Linked DNA regions of Oryzias latipes. The protein of the gene in region 2 binds, or shares a complex with, the protein of the main gene of each other region. Links are inferred from orthologs where the notes say so. Each region holds a gene or a part of one and is shown on either strand. Other genes may lie near its edges.

Region 1 (4,269 bases), on a different chromosome or scaffold from region 2:
CCTTTCAAAATAAAACAGGAAACTGAACTCAAATAGAACCAAAAACAAAAGAAAAAAACCCAAACCGTAACACTGGGATAGGCTCCAGCAGCCCCGTCACCCCAAAAGGGACGAAACGGAAGAAGACGAATGAATGATGATGATGAATTTAAACACGCGTACGGATCAGAGGATGCTCGATTGGCCGTTCTGCATGTCAATCAAGTCCCGTACTTCTCGGTGAGGATATGATTCAATTACGTATTTTTTTGTGTTATTTATCTTTGCTGGCCTGCAATCTAGCCTCATGTCCTTGAAGATCGACCGATCAAAGAGCAGCCAAAGAGCCAATCATAACAGATACCCAGCCCTAAGTCGCTCCAGCTCCCCCCCAAAAAAACACCTTACACACCACTAAAGCTCTAAATGGCCCTACAGTGGGAGCAATAAGGAGGAGCCGGCGGGGTTGGGGAAGAATCCGGCCTTTTTTCGTGACAAATCAGAGCAAAAAACAAAAGTTCTGCATTTATATTTTGTTCAGTGTATACAGTATCCACCAACAGAGAAGTGGAGAGGACGTGATGGTTACACATAAACGGACGGAGCTCCTCACCGGGTTAACAGAAAACGATAACAACTTTCATAAAGGAAAACAGGACAAAACCAGGAAGTAAAGTCCTCATTGTCCTGTTCTAGTGATGATTTGAATGTTGTGAGCTGAGTCTCTGCTAACTTCACTCATGTCTGCTACTCAGTGATGGAGACTCCGTTAACAAAACCTCATCAGGACAAAGACTGAGACAGATGGGGGGATGGGGGGGGGGGGCAAAACAATAAGCAAGGTGGTTAAATTCATGCAGGACATAAGATTCAGACAGGGACGAGGATCATAGACAAAAAAAGAAGTAGCGCCTTAAATTATTAAAATATGTTACAGTCTTTATGAAATTCAAAGTGAAAGATGCTAATCTATGATACCAGCAGGAAAAGAAACAGCATTTCTGCAGAAAAACATCAACTGTGAAGGACGAGGCTACAGGGACCAGAATGAGATCACCTGATCACCGTGCAGCACAGGGAACTGCTGAAGTACCTGACTGAGTAGGTGAGCCCAACCCCGAATTCAAACTACAAAAAACCAAAACCTAAACTTTCCTGAACGAACGAACAGCTGGAGAGGAGCTGCGGGTTTTGTGAAGGAGACCCCTCTCCAAACCTCTGCGAACCTTTAACTGGGTCATGACAGATGCAGAATCAGCCTGTCTGAACCCACAGAAGCTCCAGCCAACCGGACCACAGAGACCAGTGAGTCTGAGTGATGGTCCGGATCCTCTCCTGACCTTCATTGATGAATGAGCGCGGAACTGCGGACGAGGAGCGTTTGTCAAATTGAATTCGGGAGGTGGTGGGGGTGATGCGGTGACACCCGTGTTCGTGACCTGCCCGTCATGTCCGCAGGAGGGGGTTGGGGGCTGCTGACGCCAGCAGGTAGCGGCGGGGTCGCCCATAAAAGCCGGCCGGTGCGCGCGGAGCGTCCAAACCAGTTACCAGAGCGCACAGATTCTGCTGCAGCCATCTCTCCCGCTGAAAAGGTAAGGCGCTGCAGGCTGGCCGCTCCGCTCACTCACCCGCAGCCTGGCTCCAGCTCATCCGCTTCTTCTTGCGCTCCCCAGATGCACAAGTGCTTGGGGATCCTCTGCGCGTCGCTCATCTTCTGCGCGGCGCTGTCGGAGAGCATCGGGCTGGTTATCGCGGTAAGCAGCGCGCGCGCGTCACTCAGGGTCCCGGACGGAACCGGCAGGGTGTGGAAATGAAAGAAAGGGGCCAAAGACTGAGCAGAACAAGAGAAGATCAGGGAACATGCCAGCCTCTTAATAGTTTAGATGTGGTCAGTTAAAAAATGGAGAAAATTCATACAAAAAATATGTGAAAAAAAAAACAACAACTAAGGAACGTTAAAGAAAAGGAAGTGACTTCCTTCACCTCATTTCTAAGATACGTGAGGTGAGGCCGGGGCAGAACTGGAGTCTTTTGATGCTGAACGTGACTTTGTGGGTAAATGTTGGCTGTGCCACCTGGTGGCCTTTCCTGCTTTAATGACCTCTTCCAAAACGCGCATCCAACAACGCTTAACCTGAAAATCCGAGCGCATGCGCATGTTGGCCGCACAACAGGAATTTTCTTCACTTTTTGTGCTTGGTCGCACTTAAATACGTGAAAAAGATCCCCTGAAAGAACAGCTAGAGAGCAAAGGAGAACATTGCTCCAAACACACAGAAAGTTTGTTTTCCTTCTTCAGAACTAGAGATGGATTTATGGAATTTACTGTACTTTTTTTGTTTGGAACATTTCTTCCATAACTTCCTATTTTATTTGATGATTGTGTCCAATGACTGAATGGTTTCAATGAACATTACAAGATTGATTGATTGATTTCAAGCATTGTAGTCAAAGCAATAAAGATTTTACACAGATTTATGAAACTCATTACAGAAATGATGAAATGCATAGATAAAAAAAGAAAATAAAACAGAAAAAAAGACACATAAGTCACATTTGCTTAATTAAATACAGTGATCATTAACTAAAGTATAAGTAGAGCTTGATTTACTGCTTGAAAAGGAGCGGAGGAAGTGATCTTATGTAATCCCACCCCTACTGAGTTAATTCATTTTATAGTTTTAGTAATCTGGTTCTGATCCGATAGATTCTTTTGAAGTTACTAAATCCAGTTCTAATTAATGATTGATTATCTACAGAAAACGTTCATTCATGATTTCAGAAAACAGTAACGATAATCGTTATGTAATAATAATTGATTATCATTAGAACACATTAAACCAGTAATTATTGCTACACATGCAGATCAATAAAGAAAATCAATAGTTATTGATTGTAATTCAGACATCTCAGTAATCATTATTGCACATTAATACTCATTGGTTGTAATTAAAAGAACTTTGATTTTTTCACCACAATCAGGTTGACAAAAGTATTTGGAATTATTTAAACACCTGTTGATCCTTTACTCCTCTTATCTTTATATCATGAAGTTAACACATAAAAATGCATAAAACAATTCCTTTTTTTAGAATACCGAACTAAATTACATCAATTTAAGTTAGCCTCAATGAAATACATCATTCAATATATACCTATGTTTTAAAGGTTTTAAAGGCTGGCGCCAGTGTTAGTCATCGGAGCTGCCATCAGTGAGTGAATGGGACTGCCATATAAGTATACGCCATTTACCATTTAAAATGTATTTTCCAAATGATTTAAAGGTTTTTTTCTAGCTAACTTTTCTGAAGATGTTTTAAAGCACCAGTTACACATCCTGATGGTTATGTTACTTTATAAGGTCCATCTGTGAACACATGAAGGTCTGTCACTGACAATCAGACCTGCAGCTAAGTAAAGGTGGGTGAGACCACAAAGAGTTAAAAAGAAGCCGCAAAAACTTAAATCAACTCAAATACTATACATTTGTAGTTTGACACAAAGTGAAATTAAATATAGCATAAAAATGAAAAATGATAAAAATAAAGATGATTTCACTGAGAGTTGATTTTACAACGGCTTCAAGAGGGACTTTCCCCCAATAGAACTGGGTGGGAATGCTAATAAATGTCCCCCCCCTTCACCTACAGAGACCTTCAGGAGTTCTTTTGGGTCACGACCAGAGTGCAGGTGAATTTCACACCTCATGAACCAGGAGGACCATCAGAGGAAACTGGCTCTGGTTGAAGTAAAGCCGTCAGTGTGAATGCTCCAGGGGGGTTTGGCTTTAGCTAATCTGCTGAAAGGAAAAACAAGCTCAAATGGAAAGAATCAGGAAAATGTCGGGAGGAAGCAACGGTGATGGCTTCTCTCCCTGCTCTGACTGAACTCACTCCTGTGAGGCTGACTTTCAGCGTTTGGATGCTGATGATTGAAGAAGAACAGCTGCTTCTTACTGATGAACTTACTTTCATTATGAAACTGAAGCAAGTTGCAGAAGACGTGCGACAGCCTCGTTTGCTAAAAGAAGCCATGTGTTTGTTTATGCTGACCATCATCCAGACCCACCCGCCACACTCGGACACCAGCTTCAGATCAAACAAAGCTCACAATCACCCTCTGTTTCAGGATGAAGACATTTCTCTTCTAAACCACAACTGCTCTGCTGCAGAACTGAGAGTGATGCTGCTGGGAGAAAAGCCGTCCTTTTGATTAGCTTCAGATTCTGCAAATAATCCAGATTACTTGAATAATTGGTTAATTAAATCATGGACCATTTAACCACCAGAG
Region 2 (4,108 bases):
CATTGAAGCTTCTCGGCGTGGCAGACAGAAACTCCATATAAAAATGCCTCCAGCTATTTTACAAATAGTATCACAAACAAGAATGTAAGCAGTCAAGGGTTTGAAATACAGATCTGATGAGCCTGCGGCTTGTGCTTTTCTGAAATCATCTTAGATTCTGACACATTTACCACCTAGAGGGTGTTCCTCAATTACCCTGATGATGTAAAAGGTTTTCCTGAATAAGTCTCCAAAATATTATTGCTTCTTTATTACAGTGTATGGTATGCTCCTCAAAGACTGCTGTTCTGTGGATTCAAACAGAAAACAATTTCTATTTAATGAACAGTTTGATTTGATTTTGTTGACAAAAGGTGGTCTTCTGCATGAATCTGTAAAGAAATATAGGTAAGATGTACATTTTAAAATAGCTTTGACCAGTAAAAATAATTTAGACTCTTTAAAAGTCCCACTCCGATCATCTTTTGACCTATTTTCAAAGCGTTCCCATGGGTCTTTTAGATATGATTAAGCCATTATTAGCCAAATCCAAAAACCTGTGTTGTTTTTAGGACATAGTTTCTGCAAGGCAGCAATAATTCAGTAGAAATACACCTCTAAATTGTGGGACTGTTGGTGAGGATTAGGCCACCCCCACTTCCCATCATCCATCTGTTTACACTCTCTCCCAGTAGCTTACAGCCTTGCACAAATCTCCAGTGGTGTAACAAAAATGGCAAACGACGCGATATAGGAGCTATTCAGCTGTACAGTTTAGATCCAGATGCCAGCTTGGATGAGCAAAACAAAGACGTAAGTGGATCTATTTGTCTGACAGTGGAGGCATCAGAATGAAGTGAAGCGAGGAGCTTATGACCTGCCATGTATTCTGTCACACCATAAGCTTTTCCAAACTGATTCTTTTTGTCCGCTCCTGATTCACAGCGTTTTTAACAAAGAAATACTCAAAAATACAATTTTGATATGAATTTTTTTACATGTCCTCCATCATCAGAAAAATTCCATAAGAATATTTTAGAAAGACAATTTTAATTGGAGTTGGTCTTCAAAGGGTTTTCACGTCATGCCCAGAGGTTTGAAAAGACGTTTTTATTCTTCAGTGATCTATTTTTTTCTCTCGCAGTCTCATTTCTTTGCGAAAACACTTTAATAGGAAGAGAGACAAATCAGATAATTTGTTTTGATGTAGCAATCTTTACAGTCTAAGCATAAAATCAAATCTTTATCTCACTAAAGCCCGTCTCTCTTTAAACATATTGCCGGCTTTTAAACTATACAAGGATAGACTCAGAGCCGCAATGAGTACAAAGCTTTCGTGTTTTTCCTTCTCTTTCTCTCTTTTTTCTATTTCTTTGGAGGTGGTACGAACTCTGACGTTGATGGCCCAGCCCAGCCCGCAATTTATGTGAGAGAAGGTCCAGACGCAGAGAAGTGGGCAGCAGTCTGGATGAGGGCGCACGGAGCGCAGACGCGTCTTTTGCGCACCGGAGATCCTCCAACATCCACAGCGCGAATCTCGATTTATGCTGAGCAGCAGACAGGTTAGATTTGGGGGAATTCGTTCATTCACATTCTAGTTGTATGTTATTGACAAAAATAAAGCGGGAATGTGACATAGAATCTCAAATCAATCCAAAACAGCGCTCGCGCGTTGACGAAGGCAGATTAAACCGTTTGAGTGACATCTCTGCGTCTTGAGGCGCCGCTGGATCTCTGCCCTGCCGATTTGGTGATCGTGTAAAGTTTGTCCAAGGAGGACTGAATCTATCATGAACTTGTCGGAGTCTCTGTGGCTCCTCGAGGAGCCGCTGAACCTGAGCGCAATGGAAAACGAGGAGCGGAAACTCTTATTTGGCATCGGCACGGATAATTTCATCTCGCTGCTGGTGTTCGGGCTCATCTTCACGCTCGGCGTCCTGGGCAACTCCGTGGTCATCACCGTTCTGGCCCGGAGCAAACCCGGCAAGCCGCGGGGCACCACCAACATCTTCATCCTGAACCTGAGCATCGCAGACCTGTCCTACCTGCTCTTCTGCATCCCCTTCCAGTCCACCGTCTACATCCTGCCGTCGTGGGTCCTGGGCGCATTCATTTGCAAGTTCATCCACTATTTTTTCACCGTCTCCATGCTGGTGAGCATCTTCACCCTCTCTGCCATGTCCGTGGACCGCTACATCGCCATCGTGCACTCCAGAAAGTCGTCCTCCATTCGGGTGGCGAAGTACGCCCTGATCGGGGTCGTGGTGATCTGGATCATCTCTCTGGTCATGGCAGCGCCCATCATGCACTACCAGAACATTTTTCACAGCTCGGACAACTACACTTTCTGCTGGGAAGTGTGGCCAGATCAGACCCAGAAAAAGATCTACGTGGTGTGCACCTTTGTTTTTGGTTATGTTTTGCCTCTGCTGCTGATTTCCTTCTGTTACGCAAAGGTAAGAGGAACAATCCAAAATAAAAAGTGGCCATGGGTCACCAAACCGACGTTGACATCACTGATGATCTAACGGATGTGCATCTCATCTCTCTTTTCTTGGTTACAGGTGTTAAATCACTTACATAAAAAACTCAGAAATATGTCCAAAAAGTCAGAAGCCTCAAAGAAAAAGGTAGGTGTCATTTATTTTTTTAGGTGTCATTTTGCTCCAACTTCTATTTTTCTTTTACAAAGATTCTACAGAACATGATGGATTGATGTTACCTGTTGAACTGATGAGTTATGACTGTGTAATAACCGAGTCTCATCTCAGGGAAGGAAAAGATTTATTTCAGTAATCTCACTGAGATCCAACTGACTACATTTTTATTTGATAATTAGCCTCTCCTGCACTGAATCCAATCTTATATTTTTGTAATTGTGATGAGGTGATGAGTGTCATTTTTAATTCGTTTTTATGGCTTCCGCCTCATCCTTTCTACTGACATACAGTTTGATTTAGAAGAGGTGCATGTCCATCCAGTCGCATGGATGTCCTTAAGTAGCCAGAAATAACTCCATCCTCTGCAGGCTGAGCTCCAATATTACTGCTTCAGTCGTTTCTGTTCGCTGCCTTTAGAGCAGCCTGTCCTCAAACTGGCATTTGTAGCCGTCACTTGTCTCGACGGAGGTCATTCACTCCACTAATCAGTGGTCCTCTTGATTGCTGTCCTGCCTGTGTGCCTCTTTGCAGCCGTTGCTCTTCATGGCTGGTCAGGTTCTTGGCTGCTTCGCGCCACACAGCGAGGACCTTGACGTTAGGGCAGCAGGCAGAGCAGGACGGTCAGGCGCTCTCTCCCACTGCACAGGGAAAGGAAAGAGGGAATGCCGCATGAATCTGTGACAACGAGCTGCTGCATGTATGTGGTCAGTGCATGCAGGCAGTGTGTGTGCGCATGCTTTGGGATTGTGAAAACGGTTGTTGTTAGGAAAATGCATCATTTCCATAAAGAGTGACATCTGCTCCAGTTTTTTTGTGTTGAAAGTTGTGTCTGTAGACTGCAACAGCTCTGAATGATTACTTGGGGAGATCCAATTATGCAAATGATCATTAAATTGAACCTGAAATCAGACAAAAAAAACTGATCCCGTTGAAAACTGGGTTAAAATTAATCAGTGCCTCCTGAAGGATGATTTTTCTCTCAGTTTTGGGACTTGCATTAGTTTGCTGTAGTCTTTGTTTTTTCAGCAAGATGCCAATCATAGAGATGTAAATTTGTTTTCAGCCTGGACAGAAGAGATGGTAATATTTTGGAATGTTGGCTTTTAGGGTTTGATTAAGAGCTGTTTTTCAATCCTTTGTGCGTCACAATCTTCACCAGGTGTGACTGGGATGGGTATCGTTAAGGTTTTAACGGTACAGGGTTGCGGGGTGCGGGTGACGGCGACACCGCGACATCAGTGCGGTGATCAAAATCCCACACCGTCACAGCTCTAGTTTGTATCTTGTGGGCCACAAAAAAAGCGACTTCTCCAGTACCGATAGCAGAACCGCTGAGGTCAGATCTTAACGATACTGCGGTCTTGAAGAATGTTGCCTCGTTCAATTCCGGGGCTCGGTATCCATCCCTAGATGTGACAGTGTGGAACCCCTTTCTACCCATAAATACATATATCAGTATGAGTACAGCG

What was found. Proteins that work in one complex are often made in the same cells at the same time.
Region 1: the proteins of galr1 (region 2) and gal are in contact, whole or in part, in a cryo-EM structure (PDB 7WQ3), measured with the Homo sapiens proteins. The link is inferred for Oryzias latipes from reciprocal best matches to the Homo sapiens genes GALR1 and GAL. Residues at the interface, in NP_001471.2 of Homo sapiens: Glu32, Gln92, Thr94, Val95, Tyr96, Leu98, Pro99, Thr100, His112, Gln174, Phe177, Arg180, Gln184, Phe186, Cys187, Trp188, Glu189, Gln190, Ile266, His267, Ala270, Phe275, Leu277, Ser281, Phe282, Arg285; in NP_057057.2 of Homo sapiens: Gly33, Trp34, Leu36, Asn37, Ser38, Gly40, Tyr41, Leu42, Leu43, Gly44, Pro45, Val48.

Annotation. Positions count from the first base shown.
Region 1 is NC_019864.2:4,848,331-4,852,599, reverse strand, and holds the start of gal (galanin peptides), read left to right. Parts: upstream 1-1,469; 5' UTR 1,470-1,571; intron 1,572-1,652; coding exon 1,653-1,733; intron 1,734-4,269. UniProt on the Homo sapiens protein: Endocrine hormone of the central and peripheral nervous systems that binds and activates the G protein-coupled receptors GALR1, GALR2, and GALR3.
Region 2 is NC_019874.2:2,339,254-2,343,361, forward strand, and holds the start of galr1 (galanin receptor type 1), read left to right. Parts: upstream 1-1,249; 5' UTR 1,250-1,769; coding exon 1,770-2,435; intron 2,436-2,543; coding exon 2,544-2,609; intron 2,610-3,170; coding exon of another isoform or gene 3,171-3,320; exon of another isoform or gene 3,321-3,336; intron 3,337-4,108. UniProt on the Homo sapiens protein: Receptor for the hormone galanin. The activity of this receptor is mediated by G proteins that inhibit adenylate cyclase activity.